Linked DNA regions of Schizosaccharomyces pombe. The gene in region 2 interacts genetically with the main gene of each other region. Each region holds a gene or a part of one and is shown on either strand. Other genes may lie near its edges.

The links.
Region 1: of sre1 (region 2) and tom70, extra expression of one rescues a mutant of the other (dosage rescue), as found in Schizosaccharomyces pombe (one study listed by BioGRID).
Region 3: mutations in sre1 (region 2) and ccr1 together harm fitness more than expected from each alone (negative genetic interaction), as found in Schizosaccharomyces pombe (2 studies listed by BioGRID).
Region 4: of sre1 (region 2) and ofd1, extra expression of one rescues a mutant of the other (dosage rescue), as found in Schizosaccharomyces pombe (one study listed by BioGRID).

What each region holds. Positions count from the first base shown.
Region 1 is NC_003424.3:2,430,164-2,437,571, forward strand, and holds tom70 (TOM complex subunit Tom70), read left to right. Parts: upstream 1-3,216; 5' UTR 3,217-3,228; coding exon 3,229-5,106; 3' UTR 5,107-5,460; downstream 5,461-7,408. Other genes in the region: DNA primase catalytic subunit Spp1, read right to left, coding at 1-296, 381-454; drc1 (DNA replication preinitiation complex assembly protein), read left to right, coding at 835-964, 1,021-1,653, 1,694-1,944; SPOM_SPAC6B12.13 (protein phosphatase inhibitor), read left to right, coding at 5,886-6,078, 6,304-6,425; SPOM_SPAC6B12.14C (uncharacterized protein), read right to left, coding at 6,836-7,300.
Region 2 is NC_003423.3:1,688,384-1,696,721, reverse strand, and holds sre1 (transcription factor Sre1), read right to left. Parts: upstream 5,329-8,338; 5' UTR 4,895-5,328; coding exon 2,192-4,894; 3' UTR 2,031-2,191; downstream 1-2,030. Other genes in the region: SPOM_SPBC19C2.10 (BAR adaptor protein ), read right to left, coding at 1-798, 914-1,501; U4/U5/U6 small nuclear ribonucleoprotein complex subunit PRP38, read right to left, coding at 5,744-6,234, 6,433-6,574; fructose-bisphosphate aldolase Fba1, read right to left, coding at 7,279-8,338.
Region 3 is NC_003423.3:2,529,249-2,537,027, reverse strand, and holds ccr1 (NADPH-cytochrome p450 reductase), read right to left. Parts: upstream 4,054-7,779; 5' UTR 3,566-4,053; coding exon 1,529-3,565; 3' UTR 1,434-1,528; downstream 1-1,433. Other genes in the region: spo5 (meiotic RNA-binding protein 1), read right to left, coding at 1-130, 186-529, 578-807; SPOM_SPBC365.16 (uncharacterized protein), read right to left, coding at 5,207-6,040.
Region 4 is NC_003423.3:2,641,212-2,648,607, forward strand, and holds ofd1 (2-oxoglutarate and Fe(2+) dioxygenase domain-containing protein 1), read right to left. Parts: upstream 5,427-7,396; 5' UTR 5,383-5,426; coding exon 3,835-5,382; 3' UTR 3,515-3,834; downstream 1-3,514. Other genes in the region: U4/U6 x U5 tri-snRNP complex subunit Prp1, read left to right, coding at 779-3,499; SAGA complex deubiquitinating submodule subunit, TREX complex subunit Sus1, read right to left, coding at 6,859-7,105, 7,174-7,253.

The DNA.
Region 1 (7,408 bases), on a different chromosome or scaffold from region 2:
GCGGATGAAATGTTGACTTCCTTATTGTTTTCCTGTCCCTGGGATTGGCACTATAAACGGGTCCAACTTCAAATCGGCTTGGGCATAAATTTAAAGCTTCCTTTTTTAACTCTTCCCAATTTGAAAAAGATAAATAACGAATATAAGCATCATTAGGAAGTGTGAACGCGAACTCCCGATGAGCAAAATCATTAGTGACTACCGGACCATGATTTAACCATTGAAATAAATATTTCCACGGAAAAAGATGGCGATAATATTGAATCATCGTCTCTGAATCCACAGCTCCCTGTTTACTATAAGAAAATTGTTAGAGAATTTTCATTATTTTAGAGGCTCAATCGAGTCCATAGTTAAGATTGTTCAGTATTCACACTTACGCGCCATCAAGTGTTCCGTTTGCAATTATCTCATCCAAATCTTTGTCGTCCAATTCATCGATTTGAACAGTCATATTGTAATAAGTTTAGCTAAAAACAAAGGTTATTTACATACAGCTCAACCATAAATCAAAAGGAAACGACAGCGTACTTAAACGTTATACGTTATTTAAATTTAAAAAACTGCTTAACGTATGCGTAAACATTCAGCAGTAAAATGGAGCATTCATTAGTGCATCTACTTTACTTTTAAAGCATAATTAACATTTCAACTTTGCATTTCGAGATACGTATCAAACTCTGTGCAATGGTATTTCTCCACATATAGAATTAGAAGAAATATATGTTTATGTAGATTAGCCTCTCTTTTTGTTTTGAGTTTGTTTTTGCAGTTGTTTGAATCGAACACTACAAAATTGAAATTGGGTCCAGGCAGTGCATTAATTGGCAAATCATGCACGATGAATCACGAACTAAACAAATATCTAGTATAAAAGCGCTCTTAAAGAAGTGGGAACATGAGTACGTCCATACGAACAATTGCAAACCTTCTAAGGAGGATGTGAAGAAACAACCAGAAATAGGTATGTAAGCCAAAGATACACTTGAATTTTTGAAGCAAACTAACGAACTTTTTTAGCGCTTTTATATAAGCAATACTACGAGTTGAAACGCGAATCCTCCATTACCCCTAAAAAAGCAAAAACAAAGGTCGACTTTAAGTTTCAAACTCCTACAAAACAGCGTGCTGAAACTGAAGCGAACGAGAGTCCTAAAGCGCCCCGAAATGATTATCTACAGGTTACTCCGAAAACTGTGGATAAAAGTCTTTTAGGTCCTACTCCACAGTTGTCACGTCGAGTACTTAACCTTCTTGAAGACATGTCTCCCATTGCAGATTCTCATGTGGATCAAATTTCGGATATAAAACATAACACTAGTGAAATTTCATCAACTATGATACCGACTACTCCATCAAAAAATCCCGAACCTGTGGCTCAACATACTCCCACCGTTCTTGAAACCCCCTCTTCATATCGCCTTCAAGTTTATACATCTCCTAACTTACTTCGAGTTAATGCGCCATGCCGAAAAAGTCTCAGTGAAATGCTTCGTGAGTTAAAAGATATTGAAGATGATTACGGATCAAATGAAGAGAAGATATTGCAGGAGTTTGAAAGCTTTAGTAGCTCATCTTCAGAAAGCCTTGTAGATAGAGACATATCACAACCTATGAAGAAAAAAATTAAACGACAAAATCGTCTTGTTAAATGTAAGGTTTTCTCCTGTTTGTACCTGAACTAACGTTTTAGTGCCCCCTTCAATGAATCTTTCCAAAAGTCATTTAGAAGGTCTTCCTGAAATAGACGAAGATGCGGAAAATGGCATTGACGACAATGAAGATACAACTGCTAGCAAAGATTCGTCACCATTTTTAGATCTGCAGAGTGAACGACAAAATAAAAAGATTATGAGAAACGGGCTTGTTATTGGAAAACAAGTAAGCCAGAATTATTCCTCTTACAAATTAAAAAAACGTAAATTTCGGCGTCACAGAAGCTAACATATAATTTGTCAATCGGAACTTTGCTGTTGTATTTAAAAAAACACATACTTTCTGATCTTCCTTAATAGGATATACACTTTTTCAATGAATGTTAAAGAGGTATATATATTTAATAAATCATGCATTCAATAAAACCTGGAAATAGATTTTGTGGGTTTTTGAGATTTAAATGAAATAATACATCATGAGTTTGTGGTATCCTGTTAAAAAAATTTTGGAAATATAAAAGTTTGAATGAATCATATATTTCTTGTTCTTAATCTTCGGGTAAAATCAAATTAGTTACTATCGAACGATAAACGTTTTATATTTTTACGTAGGCATTCGTCCAACATTAAATCTAAGACTGGAACGTTTTGATATACGAATATCATGAGGACGTAAGGAAAGAAGAAGTACAAAAAAAATCGAACCTTCAATATTGAAGCTGGCGAGAAAGACAAATAAAAAAACAGCTTCAAATAAGTTTGGATCTATTGAAATGAGGAATACATGAAAGCTGAATATCATCATTACTTTACATGGATTTGCATAGCTTATTCATCCTTAGGGGACAGCGATGCCAAATTTCCTCTTAACTAAATTTTTAGACAACCTAAACACCATACGTTGATGCTAAACTTCAAAACATGAATAGTCATTTCCAAATGTCATTTACAACTTAAGAAACCATGCTTTAAATAATAGATAGCTTATAAGATACAGGCAACAACTGTAATAGATTTTGGTCGCAACTCTTCAATTGTATTCAAAACATAGTTCAACCTACAATCAAGTTAACAAATCTTTTTAAAGACAAATAAAAGGGCTCTAGATAATCAGAATCCAAAAGAAGTGCATTGTGTAATTAACAAATACAGTCAATACGTTTCATTGTTTAAGGTAAACTTCTTTACTACGCTCTCTATATATTGTATTTTATACGGGGATAACATCAGCTCTTGTAGCTCAGTGGTAGAGCGCTTGCCTAGTAAGCAAGAGGCCCAGTGTTCAAGTCACTGCTGGAGCAGTTTTTTTTAAATTCCTACTTGATGCGGAATTGAGTAGAATTAATAAAACTAGCACCTGTGCAAATTATCACCATTTCATAATAATAGCTCCTATTAAACTGCTGTTCACCGTTTCTTTTTTTGTTTTCTATCACTTCGTAATCAAGTTTTAGTTCCTTAACCTTTGTCAATGAATGTGCTTTGCAGTTCGTTAGCAATGCAATAAGGTAGCATTCACTTTGCTGAAGTATAGTGGTCATGAATCGGTACCAACCTAGCCAAAACCAATACCATGTCTGGTATATCCAATGCAGAAAATGGTAAGGCAATTGTGTCTTCTGGAGTTTTAAATTCCGTTTCAGCATTTGTAAGGCGCCATAGGACATTTGTTTACACTATTGGTGCTGTTGCCGTTTTTGCTACAGTTGGGGGTGTTTATCATGTACAACAGAAAAAAGCTAGTCATAAACGTTCTAAAAAACTTAAGGCTCATCAAGATAAGGCTGAATCCAAAGTTAATGAAGGAAAAAATGAAGCTGCAAAGGTCGTAAAAGAAGAGGATCTTAAAAGCTCAGAAACTGGAAAGGATGTTGAAACAGCAGCCGCTGCTGCTGCTGCTGCAAAAAAGAAGAAGAAGAATAAAAAAAAGGTTAAAGCCAAGAAGGTCGGCGATTCTTCTGTCGATAAAATTGCTACTGAGGAATCGGTAAAATCTATGACGAAGGAGGAAAGGGCAAAATTGGCTGCCGAGTTAAAGACTCTTGGTAATAAGGCTTATGGACAAAAGGAATATGCTAATGCTATTGACTATTATACTCAGGCTATCACCTGCTCTCATGACCCTATTTTCTTCTCTAATCGTGCAGCCTGTTATGCAGCCATCGGTGATTTTGAGCAAGTAATTAAGGATACAAGTGAAGCTCTTTCACTTGATTCAAGCTATGTGAAAGCGTTAAATCGTCGTTCTGCTGCTTATGAGCAACTTGGTAAATTGGATGAAGCCCTTATGGATAGTACCGTTTCCTGCATTTTCGATGGCTTCGCTAATGAGAGTATGACTGCTACCGTTGAACGATTGTTAAAAAAGGTTGCTGAAAAGAAGTCGTCTGCTCTTTTAAAGGAACGTCCTCCTAAATTGCCAGCTGCCAGCTTTATCCAGACTTATCTCGATTCATTCCATGCTCAACCAAAACCTTTGTTTGATAATAAATTTGACGGTGATGCTGCTTTAGCAGAGGCTTATGAATATTTAGAAAAGGGTGAATATCAACTTTCGTACGATAAAGCAAAGGAATCCTGTCTGGGATCTTTCTCATCTCCTTCGGTTAATGCTCGCACTCATAATCTAGTTGGTACTTTTAAATTTGTATCTGGTGACTCTAAAGGTTCGATGGAAAATTTTAATGCAGCTATTAAATTAGATCGCAAGTTCATTCAACCATATATTCGTCTCTCAGCCGCTTATTTAGATGAAAATGATAATGAAAAAATGTGGAAGGTACTGAATGATGCAGAATCTGTTGATAAAACCGATTCGGATCTTTATTATCATCGTGCACAAGTTAGGTTTGTTTCTGGTGAGTTTGCAGAAGCCATTTCTGATTATCAAAAGTCTATTGCATTGGATGACTCTTTTATTTATAGCCATATCCAACTTGGAGTAGCTCAATATAAGACTCATGCAATTGCGGAATCAATGAAGACATTTGAAGATTGTAAAAAGAGGTTCCCTAATTCAAGCGAAGTTTATAATTACTTTGGTGAAATACTCTTAGATCAACAAAAGTTCGATGATGCTGTCAAGAACTTTGATCATGCAATTGAGCTTGAGAAGAGAGAACATCTAACAATTATGAGTGCAATGCCTTTGATTAATAAGGCTCTTGCTGTATTCCAATGGAAGAAAGATATATCTCAAGCTGAAAATCTTTGTCGACAGGCTCTATCGGCTGATCCCGAATGTGATATTGCAATTGCCAGTATGGCTCAATTCCTATTGCAACAAGGTAAAGCTCGTGAAGCCCTTGAATATTTCGAGAAATCTGCACAACTGGCTCGTACTGAAAGTGAAATGGTGAATGCGTTTTCATATGCTGAGGCTACTCGTACGCAAATTGCCTTGACTGAAAAGTACCCACAGTTGGTTGGTCGTTTAAGCAATCCTATGTAAACGAGATTGTATATGAGAATTACTGTTAGTCAAAATAAGCAGTTGGCGAAAACATTTTGAATGCTTTAAAAAGGTTCCAATTTTAATGTGGCTCGGAAATTTTTTGTTTGGATGACAGCAAGTGCTGAAAATCCTTAAACCAAACGAAGTTTTGTATACGGAACATGTTTGCTAATGTATTCTGGTTGACGGATTTTTGATTTTAACTTGATTCTTAGGGTTAGCAATAATGATATTTTGTTCGCTACTCCCTAAAATGTGAACTTATTATTTCTTTGTACTTCATGTTTAGTAGGTAGTGTATTTATTAACGACAGCAATAGCAATGAAATATTATACCCATTGAGATTCAACCATTACAGAATGTTATCATAATTTAGGACTCTAATTTAATATAAAATGGTAGGTGTCTATTAATTCTCTTTACCAAATAAGTTGAAATAGGCAGCTGAAGGTTTTTAGGAAAACAATATTTGGTTTCGTCATCAAGGGAGATGTAACCTAAGGGAGATATAACGCAGTAACGATTTCTCACAATCTTATATAGTGAAGAAAAAGGAATAGAAGAATATCCTATTAGAGAATAGCAAGCATCTTGAAGTGCACACCACTCTTCGCCATCGTCTTTCAAACAACAGAGGAATTTTATAATAATTACACTAAAATTGTTTTTCTTGAAGCAATTGCTTGAGAGGAAGAGTTGGTTAACGAAACTGAAGGTTCACTTATAAAACAGTGAACTTCGTGTTTTATCACTCAACGTAATCTTGACAATTCCCATGGAACTCACAAGACCGTTAGGTGATATCTCCTCATCAGCTACAGTTACCATTGAAAGTACGGAGGAATCCGCGTCAATAAGCCATGAAGAATCTGAGAATGTGCTCCATTTACAACCGGAACCAGTCAGAAGAGTTAGATGGACGGTAAGCACTGTAGATAATGAGCATATGAATAAAAAGAAATCGAAAGGTAAGTGAAGTTCTGGTGATTTTACGAAGAAGAGAATAGGCCTTGTTCCATCCTTTGGCAACAAGCACAACTTTCAGACTTATATTGATTTTAAAAATTGGACAGTATGAGTCTATTTATACATATCTACATTCTTTATCTTTGATTTATCAAAGCACTAGAGGCTTGATACACGAACATAGAAAATTAAAGGATTTAACATGATGTGATGCTAAATATTACTAGTGTGCTGTATCTTTCACAAACAGAGAAAGTTTGATGAAAGTTCATCCGATTCAGATAGTGATTCGGACTCGGATTCCTCTTGTTCCTCATGTTGCAGTCGCAATGCATATGAACGCGCTTAGGTTGTTCGTTGAGTCCCCTATATTGAAAATGAGATATAAGTCATATGTCTTAAGTATTTTTCTTAATATGCCAAAAACCCAATTCCAACATTACTTTTGAAACTTAAAATACGTTTTGAAAAGGAATCTCGATGGCTTTAGCAGTCATACCTTTGTAAAGGTTTTGAAAAATCCCACAATAAATGATAGCAGCTTTTATGCTTTTCAACGTTAGCCAGATACTCATCTTTTTCTTTTTAATGAACTTTACATCAAATGTATGAAAAGTGTCAAAGAAAAGTGCGGGACTTTTGATAAAAAAGAGACTGTTTGATATACTCGTAGATTCTGAAATAAATTATAATGCAAAACAGACATAGGTGCTTTTTTTAATTAGTTGGACATATCGGTAGTACAATAAGAATAACTTATCACCTTCGTCCACGTTTCATCCAGCTAGAATTCAAGTCGTAAACTCTGCGTTTATGTGGGGTAGCAATGTTCATTTCCTCGTCATCCTCATCCAAGACTGGGCGACCGGCGCGTACAGTTCTATTGCATACAATATGAGGCTGTAGTTGTGTATCTTCATTTCTTAAGACAGAATTGTCGTGATGGTTGTGAACGGAGGAATCGTTATCGCTAGAAGCGAGCTTCTCGAGGCAATACTGTGAAATAAAGTCAATACTGGCACCTGATTCAATAAGTTCAAGAACCTCCCGAAGAGCCTGATTGTACCCAGCTTTTTGTGCTTTTAAAACTTCAGTAGTAGACGCTTGATATAATTGAGTAACGCTCAAAGCTGCCTGCTTAAAATGAGATAAAACATTTTCATATCCTGATGATGTAGACAGATCATTTGACTGAGAAGGAGAGAAGTTTAAATTTGTATCCATTTCATTTTCAATATAATAAAAAATTATTAGTTGGTGTTTCTTTGTTAATTTTCATTAATCTCTTTTCGCTTCACATTTTAACGTATTATAGCCGTAGCTCACAAAAAA
Region 2 (8,338 bases):
CTCCCCAACCCACCAACCTTCATCAATTTCTTTTAAAACTAAAAGAAGATCTCCCTTTTTTAGTTTTAACTCATTTTCTGTTTCTGGCTCAAATGAATATTTCATTCGTACTACCTTTCTGGATGAAATGGAAGCAAGTGGAGATGAATAACTACGATTAAGCTTGCTCGGGGGAGCATCAGAAATGTTGGAAGGTGAAGGGGATACATTACACTGAGACTTCAACTTTTCATCCAATTCTGCCGACGAAGCAGATAATTCCGGTTGTTTAAAACTTAACTGGATATCCTCCTCACTTTGTAACGATGCCGGTTTGACTGGGGTACTTTGAGTCGTAGACAGTTTGGGTTTGGTATGACGGGGGATTGGAGGTGATGAGGGAGTTGTTAAATCTACAGCAGACTGCCCCAATGAATTTTGAGCATCCGAAACATCCTTGTTATAATTATCTTCAGTATGCTGTGTTCTATTTGAAGAAGCTATGGAAGAATTGTCCAGGTCAGCTTCTGTATGGTAAGAAGGGAGTGTATTGGTGGGAGAATGATATTCATTTGAAGAACTATCGGCCTTTAAAGTATCATCCATTTCAAAAATGGTATTCGAGGGCGTTGTTGCAACATTTGTTGAAGAAATATTCGATGGAATAGATCTTGCGGAATAAGTACGCTTTGGAATATTAACGTTATCCCTCTTCTTGGAAAATCCGTTCATCTCAAGTCCCTTTAACAAATCGAGACTTTTTTGATGAAATCGTATTTGCATCTGTAGGAGTCGTACAACGTTTTCGACACGATCAGGCTAAAAATTAGTTAACAAAAATATTGAGTCATATAAGATAAGTTAGGCAGGCCTAATAATCGTTTAATTATGGCATCAAATTGGTAACGAATGTCATTAGGACGATAATACTTACCTCTAATTCTTTCAATTGAACCATTCTGTCTTCAAACTCTTCCAGAGACTCCTCGTATTTTGCGCGAGCATTCCGTAAATCTTCTTCAAGCTTTGACTCTTCTTTTTTGGCCTTCTGTATTTTTGTAGAAAGCGCGTCAAAGACAAGTCGTCGATTTTCCATCTTCTTTTCCTTCACATCTAAAGCCTTAAACTCGGCTAAAGAATTTTCTAGATTTGCCAAAAAAGAATTGTTCAAATAATCCATAAACTCCTCCTGTAGGTGCCCTATTTCAACCATGCTTTTTCCGTACATGATATAAGTGTGCGAATTGCTTGAAGAATGCGATAATGCTTGCCCTAACTCTACAAAAGACGATCCAACGTGAGTAACAGGTAATTGCTTATCTTTCTCGTCGAGCAGGCCCTTTCGTTTATCCATATTCCGTACCCATCTTGTGCAACTTCTATGAATTTTATCCATTCCCACAAGCCAGGCATCCGTTTCACCTTTCAAGGAACAAAAATCATCAGATAATGTAGTCTTCTGACGATCAAAACCAAATTTTTCACCGGTCCATTGTGAAAGCTTTGCAAAATGTTTGTTCATCTTCAAAGGAGAGCTAAGTTCTTGAATCGACAAATAATAAAAGCGAGTCTATTTATTTTTATTTTAGGTTGTAGGATTCAGAATAAGTTAACCAATATAGTAGTAAATAATACATAAAAACAATTTGGTAGTTTGTTTACCTTTGGTGAATGGTTCGTATTACTCCCGAGATTTCAGTAAGGACGGAACTACGTACTGTACCGTAAAACTTCAGACCACTCTTATCTATCTTATGCATTTCCATTTTATTAATAATTGACATTCTTTTTTTTATACAATTGGTATAAAATGGATATCAGCAGTCTAAGATTCAACACATCTTCATCAACAGCAGAGAGTTAACTGCAAGAGAAGAATCCAATTTTTTAATCTTGCCAATGTGTCATTATTTAAAAAAATAGTTAGTTCGATGAACCTTAGCATGCCTCAAATTGTACTCTATTCATTTTATTTAATCACCAAATATACTCAAATGGTGAATTGTGCTAGCTTGATACAACAAAATAACTCTAATTGCATATTTTTATCACTGCTCTTACCGACGACAACTGTAATTTATTAAAAGAATAATTAAAACTAAAAAATGATACGCAAAATAACTGATGAAATAACAATCATGGAAAATAATAAGGTAGTTGCAATAGATGAGCGTTGTATACTAACTGTTCTCAAAGCTCGAGAATCGACAATTTAAGCTGATGAAACATAACCCAAATCTTCTTGTAAGCGAGATCCAATATCTATGCAAGAGTTGATTAACTTACGAGATAATTTCAAATCTTGAATTTTCAAAGTTCCGATGGCCGTCCGCACGTACATGGCCATCTTTTCAACGACATCGTTTTCCTTTGGAGATGTGCAAATAGGAGCAAAAGTGTTCAAAGCGGTCCAGGAAATAATAAAAGATAAAGGTGTAATGTCTGCATCACTATCAGGTACAAAGATTTCCTGATACATACGTTTAGAAACATCCCCGTATCCAAGGCGTTGGAGTGCTAATGATAGGCATGAGTGGAGTGTGAATAGCTTGGATAAGTTGATCTTTAACACGCTTGACTGCTTGCGTTTATCTTGGCTGCATAAATCCAAAGTGTTCTTGTATGCTGCAAGGACTTCATTCAAAGAATCAGCTGTATTCTCGGGGAACAAAACCAATTTAGCTAGTAAAGCATGACGAATAATAGAGGAGTTCTTAGGACAAAGGGAAATAATTTCCTCAATCTCGGATATCTCAACTTTACGGCTCAAACTTTCCATCAAAAGGGCATCCAACAAATCAGCGGCATACCATGAGGCAAGCACCTCTAGAGGAGATAAAACCAAAACATCAGATAAGGAGCTAATAATACTATCTGACATTTGAGCAGAGTCACGGGTGCACTTTGCTAGAACCCACAATCGCTCAACCATATTCGGAGAGAAAACGTCGTCAGCGTGGGAGTTTTCAATTAGGTTAGCAGTACACTCAGGAAGCTCACGTAACTCCGCGTGTACAGAACTTTTGCTATGTTGTTTCTTTGCAGCATTCCAGAAGAAAGCAACGCACTTCGAAACGATAGCGGATGGGACAGAGGTGTTGGAAAAAATTAGTTGGCAATACATTGCTTGTAAAGCACAAGTATGACTTGAAGGAGGAAGAGAAAATGAACTGGCAAATACCATTAAGAGCCTCAAACGGTCAACTTTAGCATCACCACCCATTAATTGGGCATCCAAAAGCTTTTCCATGTTGCGAACTTCAGCAAGTTGTTGCTCACTATAAACCCAATTCTCAGAGGAGGTATAAAGAGCACTCAAACGATGAGTCAAATAGCCATAAGCAGATTTAAGAGTGAAGATCAGTAATCCAAAAAATAGAGAAATAGTCGAAGTAGAATGGTCCAATAAACAATACTTTTCGAATACGGTTTTTCGGAATAAGATTGAGGATGGTGACATGGAAGATCTGGTACTAACTTTAGATTTCTTTTCACCCTTGAAGCCTTTGAAAAGAGAGTTATCGTGCAAAAGATAGAATAAACCGAGTAAAACAACACCAATTTTCAGCATGTTAAAGAGAACAGTACCTGTGAATGGAGACATAAGAAAAGGTGGAAGAGCGAATAAACCATAAACAGATTGAGAAGAATCGTTTCCAAAATAATTGAATAGACCAAGTCCAACCATGCCATTTAGTGCTGTGCGGCCCATGGTATTTAGGGTTGGGGAAGTAAAAGCTCTTTGGGTTAGGTTTGGTCGAGAAGATTGGTGAACAGAATAGTCAGATGAGGAAACAACATTAACAGAGTTAACGGCTCGAGTATCGTTAGAAGGAGGAGCCATCGAAGGATCTTCGTAGAAAGCCAGCCTATCTGAAAGCTGCTTGTTAGTCTTCTGTAGTTCCTTATTCTTGGCCTCCAAATGTCTGATATACTCAGTTGCTTTTGCCAATATTGTACCCTTGTTAAGCTTACGAGCGGGTGTCAAACCCCCCAAATCCTCATCGTCCAGAGAATTACCACAACGAAGTGCAGCAGCAGCACGAAGTGAAGGAACTGCATCACGCAATTCACAAATTCGGTCGTTCAAGTTGGTTCTGTATCTCTTCTCAATCATGTTATGAGCTGTCTTCTTTGGTTTTCCTCCAGGACCGGCTACAAAATCTGGGGTTTCAGAAGGAGATAATGAGCCTCTAGACTTGGGGGCCGAAAAAGGTAATGTTTCAGGAATTGAGCAAGAATCTTCCGAGGAAGGAGACAACTTTATTTTCTTGGCAGAAGGTTCAGGCTTGCAAGTGGTGTCCATGGGTGTAATAATTTCTTCGGTTTTCAATTTGACTTCTGGATTTGACATATCAGCTGAAGGATAATTTTGAACAGTCGATGGATCGATTGTATCAACAGAGTGAAGGATTTTCATTTGGCGCTGAATTTTATCATCGGCATCGAACTCATTCAATGATGGGCCGGTAAAGGTCTCATTCTGAAATGAATTTGGAGAGCCGCAATTAGAGAGAAGAGGATTTGTAGAGTTTTCTAACGAGTTAGGGGAGCCCATGTTGGTCGAAGTAAACAGAGGAGGCGCCGAGTTCATCGTATTGTCGAACGCAAAAGGGTTAAGCCAATTGCTCATTGATGACTCCATATCAGAAAGGGAAAACGAATGGGGAGACAACGAGGTGTTGGTCAAGGTTGGAGGTGAGTCCTCGACAATGCTAGCCAAATCACACAACAGATTGGAACAATTCTCCACAAAGGGAGTAGAAGTTGAAGCCTTTGTCGATGAAGCCAAAGGGGATGAAGAAGGAATCGCACCCACTGAATTGGGTGATTTGCTGTCAGGCGAAGCTTTTGTTGGAGTTTCCATTGCAGGAGAAGCGACCGACACGGAAACTGACGGAATTGAGCTTTGCATATTTAACAAAATTTCCAGCTAGAACCAAGCGGAATTTAACAGCGAGTTAAAAAATCCAACAATAAAGAGAAATTGAATTTAACTCTTAGGGTTTTTTATCTCTGTGACTGTATAGGATGTTGAGCGAATTTTCTAATCGAGCTACAAATTATCCAAAATTTGACGCATTAAAAGCTATCCAAGGCGATAGATAGCAAAATAATTTCTTGAATGAGTTGTAAAATAAAATAATGTTCTTAGCAAGAAGGAAATCCAGCTTGATAATCGTTTAAGATTAGGTTATAGCAAGAGTCGAGCGCAGTAAACAAACTCTCAGCAACAACCCAATTGTTGTCAATGAACTTATAAAGGCTACTGGACGTCCTATAAGTAAAAAAATTTAAAATCGATCACCCGATAAGCAAAGTTAGGATTGCTCGAGTATGGTAATGGATGAAAGAGAAAAGTCGTGTTAATTCATATGTGAGCAAAAAAGAAGTGGACTGACATGTTTTTAACGAAACGTAAGAAAATAGACGGAATGGGGTGATTCGTTAAAGTATGGTGTGAAAAAAATTCCGTGGCGTATCAAAGACATTTTATAAATATTTAGTGTGCTGTAAACTAAGTCTATCGAAATTTGTTTACAAGAAAAAATAGCGTATTTGCGATAATATGTGAAATCGATATATATTAATATACAAATCTATTTGATTAGATGTTTGTTATTCATAAATTGTTTTTTAATAAGTTCAAGTGTAAAACCATTTCAATCCATAACTTTTCCTTGTAGAGTCATTCCAAGTTAAATCGTAGACGCATCACAAAATGCGTGCTTCGCTTTACTCTTTTTTTGTATATTACTTATCCTTAAATATTCCGATCTACAGCACCTTCATTGCTCTCCAATTTACTAATTTGTTCTTCATCATCATCTTCTTCGTCTGAAGAAGATGAAAGTGGTTCAAGCAAGTCCAAATCTTCAAGTTGGAGTCGACTTCGCAATGGGGGCAGGGAAATATCGCAAACTACTTCGGCATTTAGCAAATCATCAACAACCTCATCCAGATATGTTAATCGGATCTCAGAATTAGTACGAATTCTTAATTTCCGATAATCTCTTAACAGCGGTTCCAACGTTTGATGCACTTCCACATCATCCCATGTAAGCCGAACGTAAAATGCAGCCAGGGCACGTAAATACTTGAATTCAGGAATAGATAGGTACTGTTGAATTATTTCTTTTTCAGGTGCAATTTGTAAAAGCTTGTATAACAAACAGATAAACTCGGTGGGCCGTTGATTTCCATACTGACCACCTATATATTCAAGCCGTACTGCACGATCCACCAATGAACAAGCTAAGATGTATTAGTCAGTGAATTTGGAATAACAGTTTGAGGACTGATTAAAACAGCAAGTACCTATACTTGGTTTCTTTGCTTGCCAAATCAAGTTCATTTAGGCTATATCACTCAAAATATCGATTTGGAAAGTAATCGTACTTGAACTCTAATATGTAAAAACACTTTCCTTTTCTGTCAATGAAGAACACATACCATTCAATCCAAAACATTGTTCTTTCCAGTAAATAGAATCTACTATGCGTTCTCTCAAGATTTTTCCTATAAGGAAAGTCGGCAGCATTTCATGCGCCGCCTCACCTTGAGAGCGATAATCTCTAGCAAGAAAATCAGCCATAGTACCTCATGAAGAGAATGATTGCTCCAACCTTGATGTCTTGACTTGGAGTAAGCTTTTAAGGAGCAGTAGTGTACTGACAATATAAGTGGTCAAGTCTGAAGAAGCATGCTGAGTTTTGATTGAGAAAGGGTTATCTAAAAAAAACATGGATTCGTGAAATATGGAGGAAAAGGGAAAATGCCCGTACTCATTGCAATGAAAGAAGAAAAAGTTGATCTACTAAACAATGCACACTGTGTACACAAAGCACATGAAATTCAAGCGATTATGTTGTTTTAAGCTACTCATCGAGATTTGCCAAACGATATATATTAAATTCAAATAAACGCACGGACATATTATTTATTCATTCATTGTCATGTGGAATCGGAAATTTTTTTTTTGTAAATTTATATACCTAAGAACACATTAACCAATTAAGGAAGATGAATAAAAGGATAAAAAGAAAAATCTTAACAATATACAGTATGCTTGAAAAACACTTTACAAATCCAATCCAAAAAAATTTCTTAACTTACTTTGCCCTACTTTACTTCAAATATCTCTTATGCTTTTACAATGGTAATTTTAAAAAACAATGTCTCTATATTCAAACACGTAATTTCAAAACAGTATGAACTCTCATTAAGGGGACAAAAAAATATAATTTTAATGAAGCCCACCGTCTATTCAATCATTTCCATCTTTCAAAAACCACAAATTTAGAGAGTGTTGACAGTGTAGAAGTCCTCAAGAGCGGTAAGAACACGCTTGGTCATGGTCTTCTCACCCTCATGGATCCAGACACGAGGGTCGAACTTCTTCTTGTTGGGCTTGTCAGCTCCCTCGGGGTTACCGACGGGGGTCATAAGGTAGTCCTTGTACTTCAAGACATAGTCACGGACACCCTCGACGTAGGCGAATTGGGTATCAGTGTCAATGTTGACCTTGACGACACCGCACTTGATACCAGTACGGAACTCGTTGACAGAGGAACCGGAACCACCGTGGAAGACGAAGAAAACGGGCTTGTCGTTGGTGGTCTTGAGTTGCTCCTTAACATAGGCTTGGTGTTGACCCAAAAGAGCGGGTTGGAGCTTGACGTTACCGGGCTTGTAGACACCGTGGACGTTACCGAAAGCGGCGGCAATGGAGAAGTAAGGGGTAACGGAGGAGAGCTCACGGTAGACATCCCAGATGTCCTCGGGTTGAGTGTAGAGCTCGGTGTGGGAGACGTGAGAGTTGTCGACACCGTCTTCCTCACCACCAGTGATACCGATCTCCATCTCGATCCAGATCTTCATGGGAACGGCACGCTTGCAGTACTCCTTAACTTGAGCAATGTTCTCCTTCTTGGGCTCCTCGGACAAGTCAAGCATGTGAGAAGAGAAAAGAGGCTCACCGTGAATCTTGAAGTAGGCCTCATCGGCTTCGAACATACCGTCCATCCAGGGGAGAAGCTTCTTGGCGCAGTGGTCAGAGTGCATGACGACGGGGACACCGAAGAAAGGAGCGATGGAACGGATGTAGTGGGCAGCGGCGATGGAACCGGCAATGGAGGCCTTTTGGCCCTCGTTGGAGGATTCCTTACCAGCAAAGAAGTGAGCACCACCGTTGGAGGTTTGCAAGATGATGGGGGAACGAGCCTCACGAGCAGCCTCAAGAGCAGCAATAGCAGTGGAGGAGGAGGTGACGTTAATGGCAGGGATGGCGAATCCGTGCTCACGAGCGTAGGTGAACAACTTTAAAACGTTGTCACCTGTAATAACACCAGTAGGTACA
Region 3 (7,779 bases), 840 kb from region 2:
TGGGAAAAAGAAGGCATCGAGAGAGAAACTGAATTCGTAGGCACAGTCGCTGAAGGAACTGGCGCGAGATATGTTGGTTGATTGACAATATGAAGTCCCGGCTGATTTAAAGAGGGCATTTGAGGATATACTAAAAGACGAAAAGTTTGGTAAGTATTAGTTTTTTCATAAGCTGTGTATCATACCATTCTGAACATATGGTTTTAAATACTGATGAGTATTGTTAACATGATAAGGGTGAACAGACTGATGAGTCTGCCATTGTGAACCATAGCAAGGAGCTACAGAATTGAATGCAGGACGGAATCCAGAGACACCCGGTCGATTGTTGGAAATGGCTTGTGACTGTGCATAGTATGACGGATAATAAGAGTTGGCATAGTAGGCGTTTTGTTGTGGCAGTGTTCCATTATTAATATTGTTATTTGCATATGAAATAGGATCGGTTGTCATAACGGTTGATTGATCAGCAGCACGCCTATTTAAATACGCGGCCTGTGCTGCTGTAGAATAAGTATTGTTTTTTATACTATATTCCTAGTTAGTATTACATTACACATCTGTAATAGCCCTTTACCTGTTTGGCTTCTTGGAAAGCCCTAACTCGCTAGAACCAGGCGTTGCGTTTGGGCTTGTTCCTGGTGTTAATAGTATAATTGTAGAGTCCAATCCTTCACTTTTTTTCGTGTCATTGACATCCACAGTTGTTTGACTTGTTGGAGTAGACAATTCGGTAGTGGATAATGGATCACGAGAAGGAGAAGACATTAATTGTTTTTGTTTTTGAGGCGTAATTATTCCATTCATCGCTCTTATATGCTTTAAGTAAATAATTTTTAAATTATGTATACTTTAATGTTTGAATATATGTTAAAGGTAAGTTTTTGAGCGCGCGAAATCTGTTAATAAACAAATCAAGGATAGCATTGTGTTGCATTAGATTTGATAACGTAGAAAAAAAATACACTTAAAGGCTCAGTTTTATTATACAGTTAGGATACATGTATTAATTATGCTTGTACTTTTGGAAACTTAACTTTTCCGCATATTACTCAATGTTTTGCGTTGACAAGTACACATTGACCGAGGATTTAACTTATAGCATCCTGTACTCTAACTTGATGCGTGTATTTTTAAAGCAAAAAAAGAATTATCAAATACTTTCTATTGTATGTAAATTGATCAAACATTCGCAATCGCCTTAATTATTGAAGTGCAATGAAGTCGACTGCCAGTGTTTACTTTGTTACCCAGCTTTAAGTCGGTTTAGGTTTTTCAATCATGACAAACACAGCACTTTGTGTAGATTCGCATTTTCGGTAGACATTTTTGAGCAGTAAGAAATTCAAGTTGGCAGTTTATTTTTGATATTATAACGTTACAGAGTACTGTTCGTTAGTTGCTACAAAAACTATGTTTTCTATAGATAAAAATACCGAGTGGAATAATGATTGTATTAAACTATTTCTAAGATGAAAAGGCATCATTAAGTCTTGAAGTAATCGCAAAGTCTGGATAAATTCCAAACTTACCAGGTATCTTCAAAAAATCTATTGTCATCTCGAAGAGCTTTAACGGCTTTCATACCGTCAACATCAACAGTGGTCAGAATAGAAGCCAATGCATTCACAACATCTTTAGCCATATGATCAGCATCACCGCAGATATAAAAAGCAGCCCCTTCTTCTACAAGTTTAGCAATGGTATCACTGTGCTCTAAAAGACGGTGCTGAACATAGATTTTATGATCTTGCTCACGGGAAAATGCGGTAATCAGTTCAAAAGAGTCTTTCAAGACATCTTTGTATTGTTGCCATTCTTCCTTATATAAAAAATCCTTGTCAGAATATTGGCAACCATAAAATAAAAGTGTTTTTGCTACTTTAACTCCTTTAGAAGCTAAATTAGCCCGTTCCATCACAAAACCGCGGAATGGGGCTACACCAGTACCCGGGCCTACCATTATTATGGGGACATCGGGAGGAGCCAATCGAAAAGTAGATTTCTTTACAAACATCGGAATTTTTCCGGTCCAGTTTTTACGAGGACCCTCAAGGGTATATTCCAAACCATTTGGATGTGGAATTTTTTCACCGTGCATATGACGACAATGTGCCAACAAATAATTAGTAGTTAGTCCATAAAAGATATGATTCTTATCAGTCCATTCTTTCTTGTCAACTACCGCTGTAACGTGAACTTTGTCAGGATGCACTACACTGCTCGAGGAAATCGAATAGTAACGCGGTTTCATGTGTGCCATATTTTCCAATAGCATTGAGAATGGAAGTTTTGTAAATGGAGCGTCAGGAGAAACACGACGAAGGACTTGAGCAAGGTTTAGGTGCAAGTCTACAACGTTCTTCTTAAAGTAGTCATAATCGTTGCCTAATTTCTCGAGTTCTTGCTTAGATTCTGGTGTAGGAGCGAAAGGAGCAATAAAAGAAAGCAGTTGCCTGGAGACGATACCACATATTTCATAGTAGTAGCGAAAAACAGTGTCATAGGTAGTAGGACTTAAAACAGGAGCCTTATCGAGAGTATCGATAGGTTTAACAATTATTACAGTATCCCTCTTCTCTTTGAGACCGAGAACTTCGAGAAGATCATCAACAGCTTGACTAGGATTCATAGGACAAATAGAAGCGTAATCACCTGTTTGATATCGCATACCAGAGTCTGCGATATCCAACTCTAAATGTAAGCAATTACGACTTCCAGATTTGAATAGCTCAAGAGATCTGACAGGAGAAGAGAAAAATGGATTAGCTTGAGAACGTGGAGCTTTCGATGCAACATTTCCTTTCAATTGCTGACGACTTGGTTCTCCCAAAAAGACAGTAGAACTAGTGTTGGAAATTTCAGGCTTCTCAATAACTTCAAACATAGGATTGTATTCCTTGTGGACTTCTTGCAAATGGAACAGCTTACCTATCTCAGGTAAAGTATCATCCTTCCATTGTAAATAGTCCTCTTCAAGCATACCAGCGGCATCGTCGCCCAAACCTAGATTGCCCACACGAGTAGCGCCTAAACGAGTCATTGCAGCATCTACCTTTTTAGCCATTGCGTTATAATACTCATAGGTATGATTTCCAAGGCCAAAAATTGCATAACGAATTCCTTCGAAGGGAGTATCTTCAATGCCTTTTCCACTTGAAAAAACGGTATCATCGCCCTCAAGAAGTTGCAAAAAGGCCTCCGCATTGTCCGTAGGTTCACCTTCACCGTAAGTTGCGAGAAAGAATACCAATAGTTTTGATCTATCAAAGTTGTCCAAGTCGGTTAAATCATAGTTCTCAAGATCGAAAACCATATTGGTAAGATTGAAGTTTGCCTTTGCTTCCGTTGAAAAACGGTAGGCAAAGTCCTCAGCGGTACCAGTTTGAGATCCAAAGAAAACCGCGGCAGTGAGCTTTTCGGCCTCCATCAACTCGACAATACTGTCGGTAGCCACGACTCGCCTCTCAGGAGCCTTTGGCTTGTTGAGAAAATTGTTATAAATAAAGTAACACAAGCTAAGGATCAAAATAATGACCAGCAATACATATTCATAAGTCTTCATAATGCAAAAAATATAATAACCAAATTTTACGAGTGTTCAACTTCGGGATTTAATCCGCCTTTTATTCCAAGGGTAAATGTGCGTGTAAAAAACGAGTGAGTCAACAGAATTGTCTGATGATAGGCAGATGCGAAATAAAGAGCGAAACAGTACTATGCTTTTTTAGCTTGAACCACTTTGAAGCAGATACACTAAAGCGCGAGACAATAAAAATGAAGAAACTCAAACAAGGGTTTCTATAGCCTCTTAAACAAAAAGTCAAGTATTTATCCAAATACTCTAAAGAATCTATAAAAATCAAGATGAAGTATGTAGGCTAAGATACTTAATTAATGAAACAACTGCGCTTTATATGATGAGCACAATAACCATGCCAATTGAACAATCAAATAGATGCTAGAAAGCTTCTAAAGTAATTGACTTCAAAAAGCAATCCTTTCGGGAGAAAAGCTAATTGTTTTGGCAAACGCTAATACCTGGTCGCTGGTAACTCCTGCACCTATATACTGCTATAATATAAAAAAAAAAAATATAGTTCGATTTTTCAATGATTACTTTTTGAAAATTTCTATTAATTAATAAAAAACTATTTAATAAATTCATGTATTAATTTTGGTTAATTAGCATGTTCAACGAAGTTAAAGTTTGACAGATATAGATATCCAACATATGTAGTAAGTATGGATGGAGAGATAAAAATGGGAATGGGAATGAGAGTATTTTTAGATAGAAATAGTGTGACGGCAATCGTACAATAGTTAATTTATTGTGGCAAGCCATCGCAATAACAAAATACCTCGGGAAGAGAATTAAGCGCAATACGAAATTATGGTAAATCGGCGATTCTACTAGTAGGTGTTTATTGTTTTACTAATTATAATGACGATCAGTAAAAAGTAGGTGAGCTTTGAAAAAACCGTTGCTATACACTTTAGGATTTATTTTGACGAACCAATTAATATGGCTACCGTAGTACGGTACATTTTGAACCATTCAGTAAGCTAGTAGATAGGAATAAGCTATCGTCTTTCTGGTCAACATTGGAATGCAAAAAGAAATAATCTCACTCTGTTTATCGGTTTTAGGTTTCTACCGAAAGCCCATTCAAAGACCGTAAAACACTATCGGCAAAAGCTGTTTGTAAACGAACGATAAAAGAATAAATTTGCTAAACAAGCGGTCTTTACGGTTGCTCGTTTTTTGACATACACAAATTTGATACTCAACCATACTAAACACAAACGAAAATGACTTAAAATAGAATTCAAATTTTATTTATTAATGTACAAAAGAAAACCATGTGTCTCTTTGCCTCTTTATTTTCTCTTGCAGTTTTTCTTTTTTCTTCAAATTCTTCTCCAGACAAAGAAAAAACTCAGACGCATAAAAATCAAGTAGAAAACTTTTTTAAGTGAAACCTTCATTACACATACACTATATAGTTCATTCAAAAAAGTATGCAGCTTCATGTTCCAGATAACAGGATGTATGCCACTTTCCTTATATAGGTTTAAACCGTAGTCCACACACTTTTTAGACACTATTCAGTAGTGAATAATAAAAAAATGATGAAAAATAATAATAATAAAATAATAATAATAATAATAGCCGAAAGAAAAAGGAAAGAACGTCATGTATGGACTAAGCAAGAGCAAATTGTTGTTTTTTCATAGTACGTTGTTGAAGCGAATCCAAATAAGTGGTTCGTAATTTACGATTAGTAACACCGCCAATACCAAAAGCCGGAAGAATCCTAACCATACGGGCGAATGTGCTTTTTAGTAAATGCTTACGAACTTGCATAACGCGGTTGGCTGCTGATATGTTAGGTCCACCTCTGTTATAAATGTCAAGGGACAGGAGATGAAGAGGTGTGCTAATAAACTGTACGGCACAGGGGGTGAGCAATTGAGCGGTGATTAAACCACCGGGGAGTAATGGAGCAATCATAGGAGGTATGTTGAAGGAAAAGGCGATGGTGAGTGCATCACGAAGTCCATAAAGACCGTAACAAGACCAAGGGAGAGGACGAGGAGAACCGGTGCCCCAAAATTTGGTAAAGAAACTATCCTTCAAGATGGATAAACCGCTGTTTGCAGCGGTGACAGAACAGAATTTAAACCAGCCGGAAGTTTCCGCCTTGAAGACGGGATTCTTGTGACGAATGTTATCCAGTGTGTCTATGGAATTGGCCGTCATATATGTGCCCGAGTATAATGTAAAGACCAGGGCAAAGGGAGCGCTAAAAAAGAAGGCGCCTGGCTTTGATAAAACATATTTGATGGAGCGACTAACAGAGCGTAATAAAGTAGAACGGCCACTAGTATTTTCGACGATTGAGCGGTCGATCGTCAAGATAAAGGGAGAAATCATGGCACTGGCGGCTGTAGCGGCAAATGCATCGATGCCGATCCGCTTCCAGGTATTGGAGGGAACGGGTTTGGGGGACAAAGGGGGTTGACTATTAAGAGCCATGTTAAAGTCAAAGAGTTTAAAAAAAAGATTAGAAAAGATAAAAAATAAGAATAAAAAAACCAGAAAAGATAAAAAAAATATTAAAAACTTTTTTGTGAAAATAATAAAACAAGCCAAGCAAAAGGTCTTTAGGTATCTATTTTTCTCTCTTTTTAAAGGTTTAATCTAATTTATACAACGTTAAAGCTGAAAAGAAAGAGACGATTGCGAAAAAAAAGCAAAGCCAAAAATAATTTTTCTTCAAATAAACTGCACTTCAACAAATGCAATGAAGGAAAAAATTTAAAACGTTAAACACGAATAGTATAGGCTAACGGGGCAGATAGTACAGGTGAGAGGAAATGTCACCAAAAAAAGACAATTAAAAAGATGCTGAGTAAAAATGAAAGACCGAGAAACGACGACAAGACCAATTGAACAACAAAAGTAGTAGTAGTAGTAGTAGCAACAAAAACAAGTAAAGAGAGGGAAACCAAGTAATTCACACTTTGGAAATGTATATATTCCTTTCTTTTCTTTTTCTAAGTAAAAAGATATATATTATATCAACAAAAAAAGGTAAACCCGAAATCCTAAAATTATTATAAATACAAAAAACCAATAATAACCACAAAGTCCAAGTTAAAGCAAAACCACTTGGATTGTAAGAAGGAAGATTGATGGTGGTTTAAAAAAAAATAAGACGATGATTGGGATTGTGAATAAAAAAATTCAATTCAATTTGATTCGTATCGTTAAAACTGCTTCGCTCAATCAAAACTAACAGTAACGTGAAGTAGGCGATATAGGGAAAAGACAGAACGATTTCCAAAATAAGAACGACAAGTGACTAAGCCGTTTCTATAGCAAACAAAGGCTAAGTTTACAAGGGTTGATCAATCAACGGGTGGAAATGAGGTATATCGATGCAATGATAAGACAACCTTGTCCAACAATCCAACTAGCCAATGAGAAAACAAAAGTCAGACAGCCCACCAAATAGCAGGTGAACGAGTAAAAAACAATTAAAACAAAGGGTTTGATTCCACGCTTTGAGAGAATTATCCCGTACGTTTGAGATGGGGAAAGGATGCGTAAAAAAAGCGGTGGTGGTACTGTGGTGGTTGTAGTAGCGGTAGGAATGGCAATATCAACAACACTCTTCAGTAACAAATAGTACTGGGCAAGCAGCAGTATGAGTATGGGATAGCAGTGAGTAAACAAGAGTGTCTAAGGACTTTAAAAGATATTGCTCGTAATAGTTGCTAGTTGTTCCCAGTTACGCTGGTTCCTATCCTTCTTCTCGTGTCGTAATTGGATCAAGTGCTTGAAGAGGCGAGCTGGAAGAGAAAAAAGAGCGAACGAAGCACGTTTTATATCAAGTTGGCATCAATTTTTAGTCTTAAAGATTCTGTGTTATCTTGCGTTAAACGGGTCAAGATAGGGTGATGATCCCCTTAATTAGCAAGACCGAACAACTTGGGACAACTTGGGATAACGGACTTTTGCAAGAAAATTAGGTGACCCAACCTGGTATCGAGGTAACAGCATCCGAGGTAAAACCGAATATGAGAACAAGTACCGACGAGCTTGAAGGGCGGCAGCGGGGCAAGCAAAAAGACAAGGTGGAAGATGCTGTGTTGAAGTATAGGAGGAAGTGAGATGAAGATTTTGTATTGAGATGTGTTGACGCTGTCTAATAAAGGAAGGTTGCTGACAAATAAGGCATGCTCTTGATTGTTTTATTTTTATTTTTTATT
Region 4 (7,396 bases), 950 kb from region 2:
TTAAGATGTTAAATATGTTTTGGTAAATTACTTTGCAAATAAAATTCTAAATACAATGGTTTGGCATTATGATAAAGAATAAGACAATTTACAAGCGAAAATAAATTTGACTGATGTGTCCAGGTACACTCATACTAGATACGATGAGCATTGATTTGAAACACCAGTATAATATACCGAGACATTAAAAGACAAACGTAGTGGCCATGCAAAAATATTGCTGCAACGTCTGTCCAGTTATCACTCGGATTCAATTAAGATTTGTTTAATTCCAATACTCACAAAGCTTGTGATGAACAATATTTTTCGTAATTTCAACCGTTCTGCATACTTTACACGACATTGATTTACAAAGTGTAAATTCATCTTCAAAGAAAAGTAGGAAAATAAAAGAAAGGAAGAAAACACTGTTCATGCATTTTTTCAAAATTGTTGCAAAAAATCTAATAAATTTATTTGGCTATCAAATGCTAAATCATAAATACTCGTGTGTTAGCGGTTCAGTGTATAACAAGTCAATCACAATGCTTATTTATATATCGTTTGATTGTAAAATCATTACATACAGTAGGAAATTTATTTTGTTTAAGAAATATTCTATCTTAAGTTTTTCTAAATTTACTTTTACCTAATGGCTCTTTTTAACTTTGTTGTAGTAAAGCTGCTAGGAGTTAATTTCTCTTCTTCGTATTGCCTACTTTTAAAATTTGAAAGCCACTACCAGATATTTATAAAGCCGAAAGGCTCGGCTTATTGCATTTAATTGCAGATAATTAGAATGGCAAACTTTTATCCAGATTTTCTGAATATGCAGCCACCTCCTAACTATGTAGCAGGTTTAGGACGTGGTGCAACAGGATTTACAACGCGTTCAGATCTTGGGCCTGCTCAAGAATTGCCATCCCAAGAATCTATAAAGGCTGCAATTGAACAAAGGAAATCAGAAATAGAGGAAGAAGAAGATATCGATCCTCGTTATCAGGATCCTGACAATGAAGTAGCGCTGTTTGCTACTGCTCCATATGATCATGAGGACGAAGAAGCTGATAAAATATATCAATCTGTAGAGGAACATTTAAGTAAAAGAAGAAAATCCCAACGTGAAAAACAAGAACAGCTACAGAAAGAAAAATATGAAAAAGAAAACCCCAAGGTTTCTTCACAATTTGCGGACTTAAAACGTGGGTTATCCACTTTGACAGATGAAGACTGGAATAATATCCCAGAACCCGGCGATCTAACTCGTAAAAAAAGGACTAAACAGCCGAGACGTGAAAGATTTTATGCAACAAGTGATTTTGTTCTTGCAAGTGCTCGCAATGAAAATCAAGCTATCTCTAATTTTGCAGTGGATACTCAAGCAGGAACAGAAACTCCAGATATGAATGGGACAAAAACAAATTTTGTTGAAATTGGAGCTGCTCGTGACAAAGTTTTAGGTATCAAGTTAGCACAAGCTTCGTCGAATTTGACTTCACCATCGACTATAGATCCGAAGGGGTATTTAACTAGTCTGAATAGTATGGTTCCAAAAAATGCCAATGACCTGGGTGATATAAGAAAAGCTAGAAAATTGTTGCAAAGTGTTATTGAAACGAATCCAAAGCACGCCTCTGGCTGGGTAGCTGCTGCGCGGCTTGAAGAGGTCGCGAATAAATTATCTCAAGCACAATCTTTAATTTTAAAAGGTTGCGAAAATTGTTCTCGCTCTGAGGATGTTTGGCTAGAAGCAATACGACTACACCCGGCTGCAGAAGCAAAAGTTATTATTGCAAATGCCGTTAAAAAATTACCAAAGTCAGTGACGTTATGGCTTGAAGCCGAAAAACTTGAAAATCAAGCTCAGCACAAAAAAAGGATTATAAAAAAAGCTTTAGAATTTAACCCGACTTCTGTAAGCTTATGGAAAGAAGCTGTAAATTTAGAAGAAGAAGTGGATAATGCAAGGATACTATTAGCTCGTGCCGTTGAATTAATACCCATGTCCATTGATTTATGGTTAGCTCTTGCTCGACTTGAAACTTATGAGAATGCTAAAAAGGTGCTCAATAAAGCCAGACAAACCATCCGTACTTCCCATGAGGTTTGGATTGCTGCTGCTCGTTTGGAAGAACAGCAAGGTAATGTATCACGGGTGGAAAAAATAATGGCTCGTGGTGTAAGTGAGTTACAGGCTACTGGTGGTATGTTACAACGCGATCAGTGGCTTTCCGAGGCTGAAAAATGCGAAACTGAAGGGGCAGTGATTACTGCACAAGCTATAATTAATACGTGCCTCGGTGTTGGATTGGATGAAGAAGATCAATTCGACACCTGGTTAGATGATGCTCAATCTTTTATAGCTCGTAAATGTATAGATTGTGCGCGTGCTGTTTTTGCTTTTTCTTTAAGAGTCTATCCAAAAAGTGAGAAACTTTGGCTGAGAGCTGTTGAACTTGAAAAGCTGTATGGTACAACAGAAAGTGTTTGTTCTATTTTAGAAAAAGCTGTAGAATCATGTCCTAAAGCCGAAATTTTATGGTTGCTTTATGCTAAAGAGCGAAAAAACGTTAATGATATTGCTGGTGCTCGGAATATTCTTGGGAGAGCTTTTGAATATAATTCTAATAGCGAAGAGATATGGCTTGCTGCTGTCAGAATTGAATTTGTGAACAATGAAAATGAACGTGCCAGAAAGCTACTTGCCCGTGCTCGTATCGAATCGGGAACTGAACGAATATGGACTAAATCCATTTCGCTTGAACGAATTTTGGACGAAAAAGATCGGGCGTTACAACTTTTGGAAAATGCACTGAAAATTTATCCCCATTATGATAAGTTGTACATGATGAAGGGTCAAATTTTTGAAGATAAAGAGCAGATTGAGCTTGCTCGAGACGCATACTTGGCTGGCACAAAAGTTTGTCCTTATTCCATACCTTTGTGGCTTTTGCTAGCCAAACTTGAAGAAAAGCAGTCCGTTATACGCGCGAGAGTTGTGTTTGATAGGGCTAAGGTTAAAAATCCTAAGAATGAATTTTTATGGCTTGAACTTATAAAAATGGAACTCCGGGCGGGGAATATTTCACAAGTTCGTGCAGCCCTTGCTAAGGCCTTGCAGGAATGCCCATCTTCGGGTTTGCTGTGGACGGAGGCTATATGGCTTGAACCTCGCGCACAGCGTAAAACTCGTGCTACAGATGCTTTAAGGAAATGTGAAGGCAATGCACATTTACTTTGCACCATCGCCAGGATGCTGTGGCTGGAAAAAAAAGCAGATAAGGCGCGTAGTTGGTTTTTAAAAGCTGTTAAGGCTGACCAAGATAACGGAGATGTGTGGTGTTGGTTTTATAAGTATAGCTTAGAGGCTGGGAACGAAGACCAACAGAAAGAAGTGCTTACAAGTTTTGAAACCGCTGATCCTCATCATGGTTATTTTTGGCCCAGTATTACTAAAGATATCAAAAATTCTCGGAAAACTCCGCAGGAACTATTACATCTTGCCATAAATGTGTTATGATTACGACAAAAATGATGACTGTAACATATTGGATCTATTATTTATCTTAAAATTAATGTTTAAATTGGTATTCGAATTTACTTTAGATATTTGTAAATTTACGGACTTTTTAATAAAAAAGAACGATTTTTAAACAGGTTCGATTGAACACTTACTTTAAATCAACAAGAATACCAGTTAAGAAAGCAGTAAAAGTGTAAACCAAAACTTTTTATGTAATACACACTATCAACACGAAAGTGGGTTTTAAAAAACACAAGGGAAAAACTTTCAAAAATAAGACAAAAAATTAGAGAAAAAAAAATTAAGTAACCCCTTTTAAGTATATGTTGCCTTTACTCAGCAACGGGATTCCATTGTGAATATATATCCCAGCGACTAGATTCGGCTTGACGCGACACATATTTGACAAATTGAAGGACACCTTCATCTCTATAAACCAAAGAAAAAACATTCCAAGCGGCTGGCAAAGAAAGCAAAATACTGTCATCTTGCTGATCACCCCTATACACAGCAGCATCTACATCAGGATCTTCATCGCCAATCATATAAATATCATATGCACCATTGTCAGTATTCGCAATGCCTGTCCCCGGAGATAAGCAAAGAGTAGCTTCTAGTAAAGCTGTGTCATTCGTAGTAGCAAGCGTAAAATCGGAACCAGGGCGGAATCGTCGACCAACTTGATGAAAGGAACGAAGGGGTAAGCCACTGACAAGTTGGATCCAACGCTGAAACGCAGGAAGGCGCTGCAAATCCATGGGCAAAATAATATCAGGGCCAAACTCTTCATGATCTAAATATAGGTACCTGTGCTTATGAGGAGGAATGGCAGTTTTCCAAGGGAATGACACTTCGGAAGAATGCATAGGAGTGGGCTGCCTTTCAGCATCGATGATTCGCTTAAGGAGAGTGTTTGCAAATTCCTGATTTAAAAACTCTACTAAAACAATAACAGAATCTTGAAAAAAGCGTTTTGATAGTTTTTCAATGCCATCAGGTGTCAGGTAAAGTGGATTAATATAATTGCTTAAAATATCAGTATCCTGTTTGGATAAAGGTTCTGGCTTAACAACTGGGTAGTATGAAAACCGGGGAAGTTCTAAGTCCATTTGTTTCATTGTTAAAGACTGCAAAGTAGAAACGGTATTGTCGCAGTAATTAGCGTCATAACCAGGTTCGCCAGGCTGAGGGTAATGAAACCAGCCGGAAATAGCCATTCGAGGTTTATCTACATAAACTTCTTCAACATCATGGAATGAATGTCCGGGCTTAACTCGGAAGAAAGAGAGTTGATTCCATTGAGGAGGAATGGAGTGACAAAAATCAGCAGCAGGAAAGGATGGTTGTAATGTAGGAAACAACCGGAGTGCACCTCCATATTCGGGTTTCCAACCTTCGTCAGGTTCTACCAAGTATAAGATATAGGAAATGCACCTGGTACCAATAACATCGTCATGATTCATCAAATGGCATCCTTTTGAGTAAACATTAACAGACAAATCTTTTTTGCTAGCCGATAAAGGGCCACAGCCGGTAATCTTTTGAACGTGAGAGCGAAATTCCTCAGAGTAAAGAGCATCACGAACTTGACGCAAATACTTAAGCATGTTTTGCTCTTTCTTGTCTAATCCATCCAAGTTTGCTAGATCACCAGTTTGCCAAACACGGTAAATATCAGTTACTTTCTCTGTAAAATGTATGTTTTCCATAAGTTCCTTACGAACATTTCGAAGAAGTGTATCATTGATCAGAGGACGAATCACAACATGATTATACGGTCCATTTTTGTGATATTCCCGTGAAAGTCTTTCTGCCTCACTGGTATCTAATGCATGAGGCGCAAATCTATCCAGCACTGTTGGTTGTTGAGTATCCCCCATCCCGTTTTTATATTTGAGATTTCACCTGAATATAATGTGCAATTAGGTAAAAATTTTAGTGGTTGGCAAACTCCCAATAGTAGCAATGAAAAGCATCCCACCCATTTTTATGGACTCGGGTCTCACCATAGGTAACATTCTTGAATTATCGTAAGACTTTCTTAGACCTCCTATTACGGAGTGACTTCGGTAACTGTGAATTTGTTTAATGATAGGGAACGCAGGTTAATTCTTCGCTTGCTTAAAACAACGTGCTATCCGTAATTCTGCCTATTGCTATATATTTGGATAGTAACGCTTCGAGCTTAAAGAACAGTATAGTCCCAAAATAAGGCTAAAAGAGTTTGAATCTTAAACAGTAATCTGTTTTCTTTTCCATTTTCTGATTAGTTAGATAACTTTCTTTTGATGCTTTTGAATCAAATAAATGAATTATTCAAGATGTTTGTGATTTAAAGTACTATTTTTTTATTCCTTAAAAAAACCGTAGCTAGTTTTATTACCACAACTCGCATTTCAGGTTTCGGAAATTAATCTCATTTCTTTTTAAAAATTAATATTCAATAAAGGGAACAATTTGTTTCTATACTTCTATTTCAAAACTTATGTCTATGGCCAAATATTGCATTAAATACTTTGCCTGAACAAATTGGGTTATTGACCCCCATATAAGGTTATAGTTATTAGTTGTATAGTAGTCAAGATATTAATAAACCCTAAGTGGGGTTATTATAAAGGTCAAAACGCAATTCAAGCAGTCTATAACTTACAAGGAAAATTGTCCCAAGTGGGGGCCGAAATCAATAACAATAAGAAATCCCAGTGTTTGATTAAATAGTAAAAAAAGAAAAGAAAGTAAATTAGAGAAGTACGATTATTAACTATCCATTTAACTATTTTTTCCTTTTTTTTTTTTTTTTTTTTAAATAATATGCTACTGATCGTTACGCGCAACTTTATGGATAACTTATACTATACTTCATGAACTATTGTGATTTCCTGAGATTACTCGATGGCTTTTATATCTTGGTCATATTTTATAATCAGTTATCCCATAACAAAGATTTAAAGCTGTACGGCCCTTCAATTGTTAATATCTGCATGAAAACTTGTTTACATTTGTACAAAGCGAAATGATGCACTATCAAATATTGTAGAAAATTTTAAAAATTATAATTATGTGCAAATGCTCTTCTTCCAAGATTTTGAAAATTGCTATTAATTCTTCGACTTGCTAATAAGAGCATATTTGCAAATATATAGAATGAGGAACGAAACCGTATCATAACATAATGAATCCAACAATTTTTAATTGTGTACCTTTTATTATAGAATCGTTGTTAGTAATATCCTTATTATTTTTTCCTCTCACTGTTTCAGTCTCAAATGATCCAATGTAACCAAAGAGTACCCTCATGCATGGTGCATCACTTCGACACCAAAAAACTAGAAAAACAATAATTTTTTATTTTTGTGTTACATTTTATTCCCTCCATTTGCTGACTCAGGAGGATTGGCCAACTTTAGAACGCAGGTCTTAATGTCTTTGAGCAAGTCCATTTTAACCGAATCGGGAATACTTTCAGTTGCAGACTGCAAGGCGCTCTCATATAGCTTTTGAAAATCAATTTTAGAATCGGAATTCACAATTCCCCGAGTGTAGTCACGTAATTGAGTTGTCCAACCGCAGGATTCAAGTTTGTATTCTAATTCATTTGCTAGCCTACATTTTTTAAATTGTTGTTTAGTTATAAAATTTTTTTTTTAAAAAAGAAAGCCTATCTTTTATACCTTTCATAATCTCCAGTTTCATATAGCTGCTCAACAATTTTCTCAGTGGTCATCTTTGTTGAAAATATGAGGTCGTACATTGCTACGCAGAAATATACCATTGCAGATGCAAACGAAATATTTAAACCAGCATTGAAAAGTAACCTTTATAATTAAATCATTTTTTAATTTAGGAGTTGAAAAATAAAATATTTGGATTTCATTCTGAATACGATATCTCAGG